Bombyx mori: one gene and its partners. The protein of the gene in region 4 purifies or fractionates together with the protein of the main gene of each other region. This does not show direct contact. Links are inferred from orthologs where the notes say so. Each region holds a gene or a part of one and is shown on either strand. Other genes may lie near its edges.

Evidence for each region.
Region 1: the proteins of (E3-independent) E2 ubiquitin-conjugating enzyme (region 4) and ATP-dependent DNA helicase Q4 purify together in Homo sapiens (affinity purification with mass spectrometry; 3 studies listed by BioGRID, with this or other methods). This does not show direct contact. The link is inferred for Bombyx mori from reciprocal best matches to the Homo sapiens genes UBE2O and RECQL4.
Region 2: the proteins of (E3-independent) E2 ubiquitin-conjugating enzyme (region 4) and F-actin capping protein beta subunit purify together in Homo sapiens (affinity purification with mass spectrometry; 3 studies listed by BioGRID and IntAct, with this or other methods). This does not show direct contact. The link is inferred for Bombyx mori from reciprocal best matches to the Homo sapiens genes UBE2O and CAPZB.
Region 3: the proteins of (E3-independent) E2 ubiquitin-conjugating enzyme (region 4) and putative methyltransferase WBSCR22-like protein purify together in Homo sapiens (affinity purification with mass spectrometry; 5 studies listed by BioGRID and IntAct, counting the BioPlex papers as one, with this or other methods). This does not show direct contact. The link is inferred for Bombyx mori from reciprocal best matches to the Homo sapiens genes UBE2O and BUD23.

The regions. Positions count from the first base shown.
Region 1 is NC_085117.1:12,272,034-12,276,473, reverse strand, and holds the start of ATP-dependent DNA helicase Q4, read left to right. Parts: upstream 1-1,484; 5' UTR 1,485-1,669; coding exon 1,670-4,440. UniProt on the Homo sapiens protein: An ATP-dependent DNA helicase which unwinds dsDNA with a 3'-overhang in a 3'-5' direction. Does not unwind more than 18 bp of dsDNA. May modulate chromosome segregation. The N-terminal domain (residues 1-54) binds DNA Y-shaped DNA better than ss- or dsDNA.
Region 2 is NC_085109.1:2,870,545-2,872,838, forward strand, and holds the end of F-actin capping protein beta subunit, read left to right. Parts: intron 1-519; exon of another isoform or gene 520-520; coding exon 521-648; 3' UTR 649-1,744; downstream 1,745-2,294. UniProt on the Homo sapiens protein: F-actin-capping proteins bind in a Ca(2+)-independent manner to the fast growing ends of actin filaments (barbed end) thereby blocking the exchange of subunits at these ends.
Region 3 is NC_085122.1:5,821,120-5,825,417, reverse strand, and holds putative methyltransferase WBSCR22-like protein, read left to right. Parts: upstream 1-1,325; 5' UTR 1,326-1,544; coding exon of another isoform or gene 1,545-1,583; intron 1,584-1,664; coding exon of another isoform or gene 1,665-1,671; coding exon 1,672-1,706; intron 1,707-2,585; coding exon 2,586-2,764; intron 2,765-3,253; coding exon 3,254-3,447; intron 3,448-3,514; coding exon 3,515-3,704; intron 3,705-3,819; coding exon 3,820-4,007; 3' UTR 4,008-4,059; downstream 4,060-4,298. Other genes in the region: ATP synthase subunit C lysine N-methyltransferase, read right to left, coding at 4,060-4,298.
Region 4 is NC_085123.1:4,186,266-4,190,024, forward strand, and holds part of (E3-independent) E2 ubiquitin-conjugating enzyme, read left to right. Parts: coding exon 1-174; intron 175-511; coding exon 512-626; intron 627-1,341; coding exon 1,342-1,473; intron 1,474-1,994; coding exon 1,995-2,146; intron 2,147-3,251; coding exon 3,252-3,424; intron 3,425-3,759. UniProt on the Homo sapiens protein: E2/E3 hybrid ubiquitin-protein ligase that displays both E2 and E3 ligase activities and mediates monoubiquitination of target proteins. Negatively regulates TRAF6-mediated NF-kappa-B activation independently of its E2 activity.

The DNA of each region.
Region 1 (4,440 bases), on a different chromosome or scaffold from region 4:
GTAAAATTCATTAAAATATTTATTCTGAATATTAAGCTATATTTCACGAATTGTTTCGCAGTAATTCCATTTGTTTGTATAAAATAAATAATTAAAAAAATTCAATATCTAATTGTGTAAAAATAAAGATGACAATACTTATTAGAATTTTATTGTATTTTAGGTGTAATGGTTCTTATGTGTGAAAACTCAGGCGATTCACTTACATGCTCTTTGCCAGTATATTTAGCTGAGTCAGTAATTAATAGGAAATCATAAACATCTATTCCAACCATAAAAAAATATATATATCGAAAAACAAAAAATAAACGGGGCTTCGAAAAGTTTACTGGCTCCCGGCTCAGCAATGCCCAAAAGTAGCACCTCTATCGGTACCGTACTGCGGTGCTGACCTTCCGCCGACACCTGCGGCGCGGCGTGAGAATGGTTTTGTTTAAATGTAACTTGTAACGTTTGACGTTTTTTGTTATTAGAAAGTGGTTAGCATCTGCGAACCGGTCACCGTCCTCGTCGAACCCATCGCTTGCGACGAAGGACTTGATGAGCAAATTAACCCATGGACACAGCCCGCTGAGTTTCTCGCCAGATCTTCTCAGTGGGTCACGTTTTCGATCCGCTGGTAGATTCTGCCAAGCACTGCTCTTGCTAGGGTCAGTGTTAGCAACACTCCGGTTTGAGCCCCGTGAGCTCATCCACACATGTCAGGGTGAAGCTGAAATAGCCTCCTAAGGCTATCAGCATAGGTAGGAAAAAAAAAGAATATCTGTGAAACTGCACAAATGTGGGAAAAGGAAACAAAATACAACAAGATTCATTTAAAAAGTTATTGAAAAGGACTTAATAAATAACCACCATTTTATTGAGAATATTCCATCCCATCTCATCTCATCTCATTTCGTTTCATTTAATTTCATTTCAATTGATTCACTGAATTGATTAGAGTCTCAAGTTAAATCAAGTTAATGTCATTGGTAGTTTTCCAATTACAGCACTAGAGCGCATTATGCGGCATAATGCTCAACGTTGAATGTTCCAACTACAGCAACGCTTCGCACAATCGAGCACTCTCAAAAGTACTGCTCTCGCGTGATACTCGCAATCGTTACCGACTCAGTGACAGAAAATGGACAAGTGTTTTTTCTTTAAGTTGGCATTGATCGAAATTTTGTTTATGTTATCGTTAGTAATATTATTTAATGTTGAAAAAAATTGTAAGGCTTTCGTTTCGTCGTAGTATCTTAGAAATAATCAATGTTAATTAAAACTGTGCTAACTTAGCGCACTCTGCTGATGCATTTGAAAACTCATTCACGTTCCAATTAAGCTTTAGCATAATTCGGCATTGTGCATCACTGAGTCGCATTATGCTCTGTAATTGGAAAACTACCATTGTTTGCTTCATATAATTTTTCAAAAACAGATTAAATTAATGAGATTTGACTCAAAGGTCTTGTTACTACGCCATTAAATTAAAAAAAAATAGAAATCCGCGGTAAACTGTCAAACGCAATGATGTTATAGTAAAAAGACTCTTTACTATAACATCATTGGTCAAACGAGTGTATTTAATAATTGTAATATTTTGTAATTTCAATGGTTGAAGATTCTTGAAGATTGAAGATGAAAAAAACGTAGTCACCAAGTAGTCAATCAGTGTTGTACCGTAACGATGAACGTAATTGAAAGTATTAAAAAAGATAAAGCTTACCTCAAATGTAAGTTAACTGTAAAGAAGTGGGAAAAATCTTTCATAAGTTTGCATTCCCGGACACCATCAAAATTCGACATAAAAGAAGCTCCACCTAATATAAAGTATGCATATAAAAAGTATTTTCAATTAAAAAGTTCAGCTTTGGAAAATTCATTGACTGTTTGTGAAATAGATGATGAGTTTTCTTCATTCATTGAACCATTCGATGAGAAAGTTGAATACTCAATTCAGGATACTAGTTCGCCGTCGGATGCCAAAATTCCAGAATTACCTAATGGTGCTGAAATAGAAAAATTACTATCAAACGTTCCACTTTCCTTAAACATTGAAACACAACGCAATCAATCTCTGCCTTGCCTTGAAAATTTATCCAAAAAGCTGTTTGTTAACAGAGAATTTACTCTCAGGAATCCTAGAAAAATAGTTTCAGTTAAAAAAAATCAAATTAAACAAGCTGATACCAACTTAAAAAATATCGGTGGCAAAATTGTTGAACATGATTCAATTACACAAGTAAATGAAGATTTTTTGGAAAATGAAGTAAAGAATACTACTATTATCATAAAAAATGATGGTGATAAAAATATTGTTGATGGAACTAAACACATAAAAAAAATCACACACAACTACACAACTAGTGAAAGCATCACCCAAGTTACTAAAACCAATCCTTTAGAGACACATTTGCTGGCTAATCAAAATAACATTCTTCAAAACACCAGGCAACTTGATCAAGCATGGATAGAGCGAGCAGTTGGTCCAAGTTCAGTAACAGGCACCTTCTGTAAAGCAACTACATCTGAACAGTTTGGCATCAGAAATTTAAACACAGTAACCCAAAGTAATGATAAATATTTAGATTTTGTAGAAAATAGTGATTCTGAAGATGAGAATACACTTGATAAACTAAAGCCAGCCCTTAAGAAAAGAAAAATTGAAGAAATTGAACCTGCTGCCAATGAAGGTGTAATTGTTTTGGACAGCTTTGAAACCAAATTAAAATCATCATTCTCTAAAACAAATAATTGTGGAAAAAGAAAAAGATCTGGAGTTTCAAAAAATGATAAAAGTAGAGTAAAAGTGTTATCAAGCAAATGTAATGCCACAAATGATGACCAGCAGCTTCCAGATATAACTGAATTTGTTATGTTTAGCTTAGATAATGACATAGTACCTCGTCACACAGAAGTATCTAACATATTAAAAACTGTTAAACCTCCCAAAACATCAAATGACAACAACTCAGAGGGCTTTGATAATTTGCAGACTAAAATAAAACTAGGGACTCTAAATGATAATTTTGTAAAAGTTAATATTGAAAAAAAAGTTTTTGTCAGAGGGAAGAAAAGTTTTAACTTTTCAAAATATAAAAAACAACAATGGAAAGACAAAAAAGCTTTACATGCTTCCATGGAGTTTCCAGAAGCTGGGAAAATAAAATGTTTTAAATGTGGTAATGCTGGGCATATGGCACGATACTGCACAATACATAAAGCTGAAGGTCTACTACCTTTAGAGAGCTATGATGAAAATGAAATGCTTACATTGGAAGACATGGAAAAATTAGCTTATGGAGAAAATAGTAAAACTAAAACTTTGACTGAGGAACTAAACATAGCTTACACTCCAAGCCAAATTCCTGAAAATTTCATAAAAATGCTAGAAACCAAAGCAGACCCAAATTGTGGAACTGTTAAACCTTTATATCCAAATTACAATGAAGTGAATGATAATGAGCTACAAGAAGATTTATTAAAATTTGGGCACAATCAATTTCGACCAGGACAAGAAAAGGCTATAAAGAGAATTCTATGTGGCATGTCCACACTTTTGATTTTGTCCACTGGCAGTGGCAAGTCACTATGTTATCAATTACCTGCTTATATGTATAGAAAGAAATACAAATGCATTACATTAGTAATATCGCCACTTGTTTCTCTAATGGAGGACCAGGTTTTGAATATGCCTGAATTTTTAAAGGCTGGCTGTTTGCATACCAATCAACCACCAACACTACGTCAAAAAATTATACAATGTTTAAAGGATGGAGAAATAAGTATTCTTTTGATATCTCCAGAAGCTTTAATATCTAGTGATAATTCTAATGGACTAACTGGTCTCTTTAGATCATTGCCTCAAATAGCATTTGCATGTATAGATGAAGCTCACTGTGTTTCTCAGTGGAGTCATAATTTCCGACCAAGTTATTTAATGATTTGTCGTGTATTGAGAGAAAGACTGAATGTAAAATGTATCCTTGGACTGACAGCAACCGCGACACAAACCACCATAAAAAGCATCATAAAGCATATTAGTATACCTGATGGGACATCAGGAGTGATAACTAATCCAACATTGCCAGATAATCTATATTTAACAGTTTCATTTGAGAAAGATAGAGACAAAGGCTTAATATCATTTATAATGTCAGAAAAGATAACTACATTCAATTCTATTATAGTATATTGCATAAGAAGAGATGAATGTGAAAGAATTGCAGCAGTCTTGAGATCATGTTTGCAAACTTCTGTTAAATATTCTACAGAAAAACTAAATAAAAAAAGGAAAAGAATGTCTTATATCGCTGAAGCGTATCATGCTGGAATGTCTGCAGCACAGAGAAAAAAAATTCAAAAAAACTTTATGGATGGAACATTAAGGATCATTGTTGCAACTGTTGCTTTTGGAATGGGAATTAATAAATCAGACATAAGATGTATTATACATTA
Region 2 (2,294 bases), on a different chromosome or scaffold from region 4:
TTACACTGTGACCGAAGTAGTCAAGGACTCTGCGAAGACTGCGACTCTTTGAAGTCGTTGTGGCCTAAAGGATAAGACGTCCGGTGCATTCATATCTAGCGATGCACCGATGCTTGAATCCCGCAGGCGGTTACCAATTTTTCTAATTAAATATGTACTTACAAATATTCACGATCGACTTCCACGGTGAAAGAATAACATCGTGTAATAAAAACCAAATCCGCAAAAATATAATTTGCGTAATTACTGGTGGTAGGACCTCATGTATGTCCGCACGGGTAGGTAGCACCACCCGCCTATTTCTGCCGTGAAGCAGTAATGCGTTTCGGCTTGAAGAGTGGGGCAGCCGTTGTAGCTATACTGAGACCTTAGAACTTATATCTCAAGGTGGGTGGCGCATTTACGTTGTAAATGTCTATGGGATCCAGTAACCACTTAACACCAGGTGGGCTGTGAGCTTGTCCACCCATCTAAGCAATAAATAAAAAAAGACACTGAAGGTGATGATTTTGTTTTGTAGGTAAAACAAAAGATATAGTGAGCGGGCTGAGGTCAGTGATCCCGGCGGACGTGGCGCGCCGCACCGCCGCGCTGCAGCACGACCTCGCGCTCGCCCTGCAGCGCCGCCACGTGCAGCGCGACGACTGAGAGCGCCGCCCCCGCCCCCCGCTCGGCACACGTGAGTGCGGACACCGACCACAGACTCTAGAACGAACAGACTTACAATTTAACCTAAAAAAGCAACCCCAATTAAAACGTCTAGAATTAAAATTATTATCCCAACTACAATTATTAATAAATCAAAAATATAAATTACTATCTATATAAATTAATTTATTTATAAATTGACTTCTAAAACCAATACATTTATTCTGCCAAAATAGTTTATAAATTAAATATATAAATCAATCATAAATTCAACATAATTCAATATAATTGCAATATAATTGCAATGTTTAATCCTTTCGTACTAAAATATTATAAATATTAAAAGATAGAAACCAACTTGGTCCACCTGATGGTTGTCTGGAAGAGATCGCTCTTAGCGATAAGACCGCCTATTGTACTTTTTTATTTATCTAATGTTTCGCATTGTTTAATTTTTTTTTTGTGTACTATATAGAATACTCTCTCTCTTTCTCTCTTCCAATTTTTCGATATTCAAATTTTCTTGCGAAGGCGCAGTCGATTGAGATATCGGCCTCAAGGGTATAAGTTCCGACGACCACTGCATTACTGTATCACGGTAGAAATAGGCAGGGTGGTACCTACCCGTGCGGGCCCACAAGGCCTACCGTCAGTAAAACTGTCACTTGTCACAATTTGACAACAATTACACATATCGAGGGGTGAAAGGTCATTTGGTTGAAGCGACATTTTTGCAACTGTACAGGAAGCTAATAAGGCTTAAAAAAAAAAAAATAAAAAAAAAAACTTCAGCTATTTCAATGGCGTTCGAATTCTTCTTAATTGAAATTTGATTAAAAATATCGTCTTTTGATGCTAATAATGGAAATTCGAAATGTCGCTTAAACCTTTATATACATATGTTATAATAGTCTTGCAACCCTCGATATATTTTTTTTGTTTAAATTTCAACTTTAATGATAAATTAATTGATTAAAATTATTTATAAAATTACATTACGCACTATGAACACACAATATTATATGGGAATAACCGCAATTTTTCTGCTTATTTTTTATGTATAATATGTAAAATAATACATGACATACAGCCCGTAGTTGAGATGTTTCATTGTTAAATTACTGTCCTTTTTGTACTGACTTCTAGTGTCATAATACGGTTTCGCAAAACAGGAAACTTTGTAGGAACGTATCTACCGTGTAATTTTTTTTTCCCTGCCTTACCTGATAGCCTTGAGAGGCTATTTCAGCTTCACCCTAACATTTGTAGGTGAGCTCGCGGGGCTCAAACCGGAGAGTTGCTAACACTGATCTTAGCAAAGAGCAGTGCTTCGCAGAATCTACCACCGGATCGGAAACGCGACCCACTGAGAAGATCCGGCGAGAAACTCAGTGGGCTGTGTCTATGGGTACCGTGTTATAGGCGAGTCACCCGTATTTATATTTCGCGTAAAAAATTACAGATGAGGTGGAGACGTTCGGTGATGTAACGAAGATAGAAGTGTTGCAAGAGGATAAACAGTGAAACGAACCTCACGTGTGAGAACTTATGAACATTAAATTAATTCCCCCGGTATATATGTCTCGTTAGTGTGTAAATGTAGATTTTAAATATGGCCGTTTATGGTGCTTTAACAGTCTTCAGAA
Region 3 (4,298 bases), on a different chromosome or scaffold from region 4:
TCATTGTGTCGTTTTAAGACATTTACCTCAGCTGTCATATTACCTAACAGCACATAAGGTGAATGTAGCTTTATGTGTATCAGTCGGGTGCTCACTTAACCAAGATGAAAAGTCCTTGTTAGTTAACCATTCAGAACGAAATTTCTGTTTATATATTTTTTTTTATTTTCACCTTCCTGAGTCTTTGGTTTTTTGGAGTAGGTGGGCCATCACCATCACTAATACTGTAAGGAGTAGCGCATGCGGTTGTCCATCGCTTATAGTCAGTCGTACATAGACGGCCCGACACTTGTGACGCCGCAAACACTTGTGACAATATACGGAGTAAAATTGGACCTCATTTGTTTTATTTATAAAGGGCAGCTATCACCTTACATACCTGGAAACCGTACAATTACTGTCTATAGTAGCCATTTTACAACACACAAAATGATAAAATGATTTTTTTTATTGTAATGATAGGAAAATTTGCCAGGTAATCGTTACATTGAAAAGTAACAGAGCAATATTTTATTTAAAAAAAAAAATGAATCTTATTATGTTGACAAAATATATAATAGTTCATTTTATTTTATTTGATTACATAAAAGTATGTATATTCTAATCCATTAGACTATTCTATTTGGTCAGCTTAATAACGGATGAACCATAGATAATACACTTAATATTTGAGATGAACCGTGGAATGAGCGCGCCGGCGCCGGCGCGCTCATTCCACGCATAAAAATTCCCTGATTAGATTTAAAAAATTGTCATATTAATATAAATGTTACCTTGTCTAAAAACCATAATGACAATAAAAATGTAATAATAAATGTGTTATTTTATTAATGAATATCAGTAACCTTGATATTCATGCAGTGCAGAACAATACTGAACCACCCTTCAGTACTGCTAAAATGATGACTGCTACAAATTGCGTGTGCAGAAGTCACTATAGAAGACTGGAGAAAAGTCGTAGAGAAAACAAAGAAAATAATTTTATACGATTTTGAACGAGATGTGAGAATAGACAATATTATTGAAAATTAATTAATAATATCTCGGAGTGCTGACAGCAGTGATGAAGATGACAATACTAATAACAGTTCTGATAGTTCAACTGAATAAATGTAATATTTTTGTTAAATTATGTATTTGTCTTATTTTGCTCTTTAAATTTACGAAAGAAAAAATAATAATGGAACAGGGATTCGCCTGATGATTATAAAAATTCACATTATAATATGTTTCAAGTTCGTATCGATTTATTCACATTAAACGATGTTTTTAAGCAGGCTACCTCACTATGAAGATAAAACTGACAAGTGACAACGTCAAATGCTACATATTATAAGTGGTAAAATGACTCAATACTAAATATATTTAAGTCTGTGGAGCAAGCCGTAGATAAGTAGTTTTTACACTTATTATTTTAAAAAGCTACATACTTCCTAGTTCATAAAATCATTTTATTAACGAGCACATACATATGTAGATACTTACTAAACACTAGGTTCATTTAAATTTGATTGATTTGAAAGTGATCCTTATATTGATGTAAGATGTCAAAAAGACCAGAACACCAGGCACCGCCTGAAGTTGTGAGTATAAGCTAATGTAAATATATTGTTTCAAATTTGAACAAAAAGGCACTATTGTTATTCGAATTATTTTTGTTCTAGTTTTATAATGATGAAGAGGCTAGAAAGTATACACAAAAGTACGTAAGTAAAAGTAACAAGGTATTGCGAATACTAACCTTTTTGCTAATGGTGGCACAAATGGAATTGTCTCTGAATTGTTGTAACCCAAAATATAATGTAAGTGGGCGATAGTGGTGAATGAGCACAACCACAAAAATCCACAACCTTCCCATGTCTAACGTCCTACAGTTTCATTAGTGTGGGAATTCGGGGGGCTTAATACTACATTTTAAAATAGTAAAGTGCTGTATAAAGTTTACAATAGAAACCATTATTGCAGGCAATCAACCCATCTAATGTTAATTAAATGGCCCCTGTTACTTATTTACTACAGTAATGTTTTATATTTAAACTGCAACTAAAGATATTTTCAAACTTCAAGTAAAAACAAGTACCTGTTTCTCGACGAACCCGTCGCTTACGACGAAGGGCTCGGCGACAAAATTAACCCACAGACATAGCCCACTGAGTTTCTTGCCAGATCTTCTCAGTGGGTTGCGTTTGTGATCCGGTGGTAGATTCTGCGAAGCACTGCTCTTGCTAACCCTAGCACTTACACGAACACTAACCCTAGTGTTAACGTCGTAGTTTGGGACTGGTGAGCTCACCTACTAATTCAGTGAATCTGGAATAACTCCTCAAGGTTACTAGAATAGGTAGGAAGCGATAAATGTAGAAATGCTAAGAATGATTGTCTTGTACTACAATGTTAATGATACTAGTTGGACAATATTTGCCAAATTCATTTGAGCATGGGGTTTATTGTACAATCCAGGAAAAACCTAACTATTTGTGAGATCTGGATTATGAACAATCTGAATGCTTCCCTCCTAATTCCAAAAATGTCTTTCCTTTTTTTATTAACTCTTTTTGAGAAAAAATTGTGTTTGATTATTTTAGCTCCAGGATCATAGAAATCCAAGGACAAATGACTGAGAGATGCTTAGAATTACTTCTATTACCGGAAGATTCATCTTGCTTGTTGTTGGATATTGGATGTGGTTCAGGATTATCTGGTACAGTGCTAGAAGAAAATGGACATATGTGGATTGGGATGGACATATCATCTTCAATGCTTGGTAAAAAATATTTTTGTCATCTGGCCACAGAAAGTAGCCTAGTCGATACTAGACTTAATTGGACACATAATGAGACATAATAAGACACATGACTTGTACCTTAGGTGTTGTATTTTTTCTCAGTTTTCACTACTTATAAAGATTGTTAATAACTGAAAGAGAACAAATTATAACCTGACAAAATTAAAACCCAAAAGGCTATTGGGTTGAAGTGACATTTTTGTAATTTTATAGAAGAACCATTTTAAATTTAAGTTTTGGAAAATTAATCATAATAAAACAGCTTCTTCAGCTATTTGAAAGTAGTAAACATAATTGATGTTCAACTAAAAATATTGAAATATAGATACTAATACCAAATAAATAGCATTTGTAATGTCACATAAACAGAATAGCCTTTCACCTTTTGATATATATCCTTGTTTCCTAAAGCCCAAAAAAGTATTTTGGTTCTTAAATTACACTATATATAATATGTCTATGTTGTAGATGTTGCTGTAGAGAGAGACACTGAAGGTGGTTTAGTTCTGGCTGATATGGGTGAAGGTGTCCCGTTTAGAGCAGGTTGCTTTGATGGAGCAGTATCCGTATCAGCTATACAATGGTTATTTAATGCTGATAAGAAAACTCATAATCCAGTGAAAAGACTAAACAAATTCTTCACCACTTTATATTCAAGTTTGGTAAGTTAACTATGAAAACGGTATTATTTATTATTCAATACAAAAACTCAATTATTATTTTTTTCAGTCAAGGTCTGCTCGAGCTGTCTTCCAATTTTACCCTGAGAATGAGAAGCAATTAGAACTCCTAACGACACAGGCAATGAAAGCTGGCTTTTATGGAGGAGTTGTAATTGACTATCCAAATTCTGCCAAAGCAAAGAAGTTCTTTTTAGTTTTAATGACTGGTGGCGTTGGTCCTTTACCTCAGGCTTTAGGTAATGTTGTATATATCATAAAATTATATCACATTAAAATAATACTATAGTGTGATGCTAATAAAAATGATGAAACCCACTTTTTTATATAATAAAATCAAAATTTGTATTACAGGTACTGAAGAACCAGACAGTCTTCAAGTTAAATATGCTAAAAGAGAAGCTACAAAAGGGATAAGAGGAAAACCTATAAAGAACTCAAAAGACTGGATTTTGGAGAAGAAAGAACGAAGAAGGAAACAGGGCAAAATTACAAAACCTGACACTAAATACACAGGAAGAAAAAGAAGTGGTCGATTCTAAAATAAAAACTGTTTATTATTTTGTATATCTAAGTAAATAAATTTGTTGCAACTTAACTGATTTTTACTTCATATTTCCAAACAGTGTCTACACCATGTCCAATAGTTTCTACAGGCACCATTGTTGGTAATGGGAATCGACACGCGACCACTACTGTGCGCTCTTGCGTTTCATCTAAAATTTTATTTTCTATATCGTGCATCATTTGCTCCACACCAAATATTACAACATTATTGTAAGGTTTGAGGTTGAATTTCCATAAATCACAATGATAAAACCTGGTATCATAAT
Region 4 (3,759 bases):
TGCCCTCTCGAGGACTACTCCATGCGACGTCGACGCTCCACGCCGTACTCTTCGTCTGAATATTATCCTGGACAAGTGGTTTACGGGCCTCTGGGTTCTTTGGATAACGCCAACTGGTTGCACATGACTAAGGAAATGAAGGCTGCTAGAAAACATAAGATGCATGATCATAAGGTTTGAAATTTTTTTATTGTGTAAGTAAATTTTTCTATATTAAAAAGTTTCATTTTTTTAAATTATAATGATATTTTTTTAAATAGTTTTTAATTTAGAGATATATTATATCATTACATAATTTGAAACCAAAACGATGGCATGAAAATCATTTTAATCACAATGATATTAAAAAAGCTTATATAGCCTAAATAAAAACTACACGACAAATTCCTGTAACGAAATATACTACACATAAAAAAAAACTGTTCTAAACAAGTTCTGTCCTAACAACATCCATCCCAAATAGTTTTGAAATACCAATAAACAAAAATGGTTCCTTATATGTATTTTTCAGTTTACTGTGGAAGCGGTTGTCACGGAGAGTGTGAGTGTGCACTGGCAGTGTCGTGCCCTTTGTACTCATCCAACAGAGACTGGAGCTCCTCAACAACCGAAGTTCTTCGTGGAAGGTGAGTCTGATTATATGAATTGATGTTACTTAACTCATGCTGATACATTGTAGAACAGTTCTGATATATCTTACAAAGTGGACGATAGGAAACCTAAAAGCACTTATTACACAAATATCATTCAAATTCTACAAAGCTGAGTTGGATGTATCTTCAATATATGTGACATCATTTGTTTTTTATCACATTTCAAATATTCTAACTTAATACATTTTAAATCACTAACATCCATCCATTGTCACCCCCGCCCGGGCGTAGTTGGAATAACCCCTTAGGCTACCAACGATTAGGTAGGAGGGAAAAACAGTCACAAATATTTTCATTTTCAATTAAGAATTCGCTCATTTTCAACAAAAAGCGATAGTCACACAATTACAAACGGTTTTTATATTGTCTTCTTCGTGGCGTCAGTTTGCTTATTTCTAACTACAGTGTAATAAGCATATCAAAAGTAAGAGACCAATTTGAAATTCTCAGAATTTCGACAATGACCTACCGTATGTTGTATGATGGTAAAATAATGACCATTTAAAATTTAAAAATACATATATGTATATTTCACGTAGATCATGCCAAAAAAGTGACAATGCTTTTGACATGCGCTTGAAGGAGGCACAGTTCCCAAGATACTGGCTACGTTACCTCGTTGGACAGACAGACTCACTCTCTGTGCAAATGCTTTTTCTATAATTAAAAATCAATTCATTGTTTCCAGGAGACGACCTGAAAAACTTGAAATTGCTAAATGTGTTCGAGCCGTGTACATTACAAGTAGGAGACCGAAACTTCCTGACAATTACCACAGAAGATACATTTGTTGGTAAAAAGCAATGGAGGAAACAGCAGAGTAAGTGGAACTGTTATTATCGATAGCCAATATTTTTCATCATCAATTTGGGAATATTTCACACACACACTGACCTATTCCAACTGATATTTGCTTTTGTATATTAGATTCTACTATTTTCCCTCTCAAATCCTTCTAGAAAGAACTGTTTGATTTGTTGTACTAATGCCGCCATTAACCTTGACACGTGAGTTCAGATTTGCAATATAACCTCTCAAACCGGAACATACGACCTTTGCGAGCTTAAAGCACACCCTAACACTAGTAATTAAGTTCTACTTAGAAGCTATTCCTATATGGTGACAGTCGTTTATACCCCTTTGTCCAGTCCGTTCTCAGAAAGGTAAAATAGAAAATTTCCTCACAATAATTTTTACCTACCTGCGAGATTAGAACATCGGCACAAATAAGTCAAGCATCTCAGCATTAGACCACGACACTTTTGAAATTACTCAAATAATTACAATACATCTTATTCATACAAAATGTCCACCCGCAATAACATTATAATTAAGAATCAGATTATCGTTCTCCAGGTAAAATCTACAGGAACCAACGTAAACAGACTCGTCCAGTAAAGAAATCGTCCAAATCGGAAACTAATTCTAGTGAACACGTGCCTTCGCGGCCCAAGAAACGAGCCTCATCGCACAGGAAACTGAAGCCTGCCGATGTAAGTGCAAACTGTACAGTCTCTTTTTTTACTTTTTTTAAAGCTGATTGCCTTGAGTGGCTATATCAGCGTAACCTAACAATTAGGTGAGCTGACGGAGCTCAAACTTAATGACGTTGCTAACACTAGCCCTAGCAACAGTGCTTCGCAGAATTACCATCGGATCGGAAACGCGACCCACTGAGAAGAACCGGCGAGAAACTCAGTGGGCTGTCTGTGTCCGTGGATTAAGTTACTCGCCGAGCCCTTGGTCGCAAGTGACGGGTTCGACGAGAACGATGACTGGGGCTTGAGGTACCTAAAAACACCGATAGTGGATCGGAACGATCCGTAATGACCTGTACAGTCTCGTTACAATGCCCTTAACTCGATACACTGTCAATTGATTTTTTTGTTAGTAGCTCTTAAGTCGATGGTATCAAATAAATAAAATACTGCAAATTAACATAAAATTAACAAACGTTTTGAGTTTTCAATTACGGTGGAAATTAAATCATGCGTTAATGAAATAAAAAATTGCATCCGCTGATTTTAATTGTTTCAGTATAACGTGCGAGTTAACGTTTTATCTGTCCATTATAATAAGACAGTCTAAAAAAAGTATTATGGTGTTGAATATTCATGGTCTTAATAAGGACCATTTTTCTTTCCTACCTATTGGCAATAGACTCGAAGGCCTATTCTAGTTTCACTGGATGTGTATGCTCACGGAGCTTAGCCGAGATATCAGTAACATCTGCCTTAGCAAAATGAGTGCTGTGTTGATTCACCAGATCGGAATCCGGTCACCGTTCTTGTCGAACCCATCGCTTGCGACGAAGGGCTCGACGAGCGAATTAACCCATAGACACAGCCCACTGAGTTTCTCGCTGGATCTCCTCAGTGGGTCACGTTTCCGATCCGGTGGTAGATTCTGCGAAGCACGGCTCTTGCTAGGGTCAGTGTTAGCAACACTCCGGTTTGAGTCCCGTGAGCTCACCTACACACGTTAGGGTGAAGCTGAAATAGCCTGTCAAGGCTATCAGCATAGGTAGGGGAAAAAAAGATCGGAATCTCGACAAAGGAAATCCAATCCTCTAAATTCCTTGAAATTTGTTATACACAGAATGAAATGGAAGTAGACATGACGGAGGAGAAACTTGAAAACTTAGACGAGGTCCTCAAGGCGGACCCGAGCTGTCCCAGCATCAAGATAGAGCCCATCGGCGACGTCTCACTACCCATGGCCAGCAGTCAAGAAGACACTGCTACCGAGGAGAAGAACGACTCTGGAATAAGGTATTTTTAAAAATTCATGTTCGTAGCACTCTAATGATCTAACTATCCACACTGAAGTCTGGAACAAGGTACTTCTAAATTGGTGTTTGTAGGTCTCTAATGGTCTAATTATTCACACTTAATAAGAATGATGATAAGCAAGTTCATTTTATGCATTTAAGCATTTAATGCCTACTACACGGCGCCGTGGAGATGTATAATAATATGTATTTTACTGGTGGTAGGACCTCTTGTGAGTCCGCGCGGGTAGGTACCACCACCCTGCCTATTTCTGCCGTGAAGCAGTAATGCGTTTGGGCTTGAAGAGTGAGGCAGCCGTTGTAACTATACTTGAG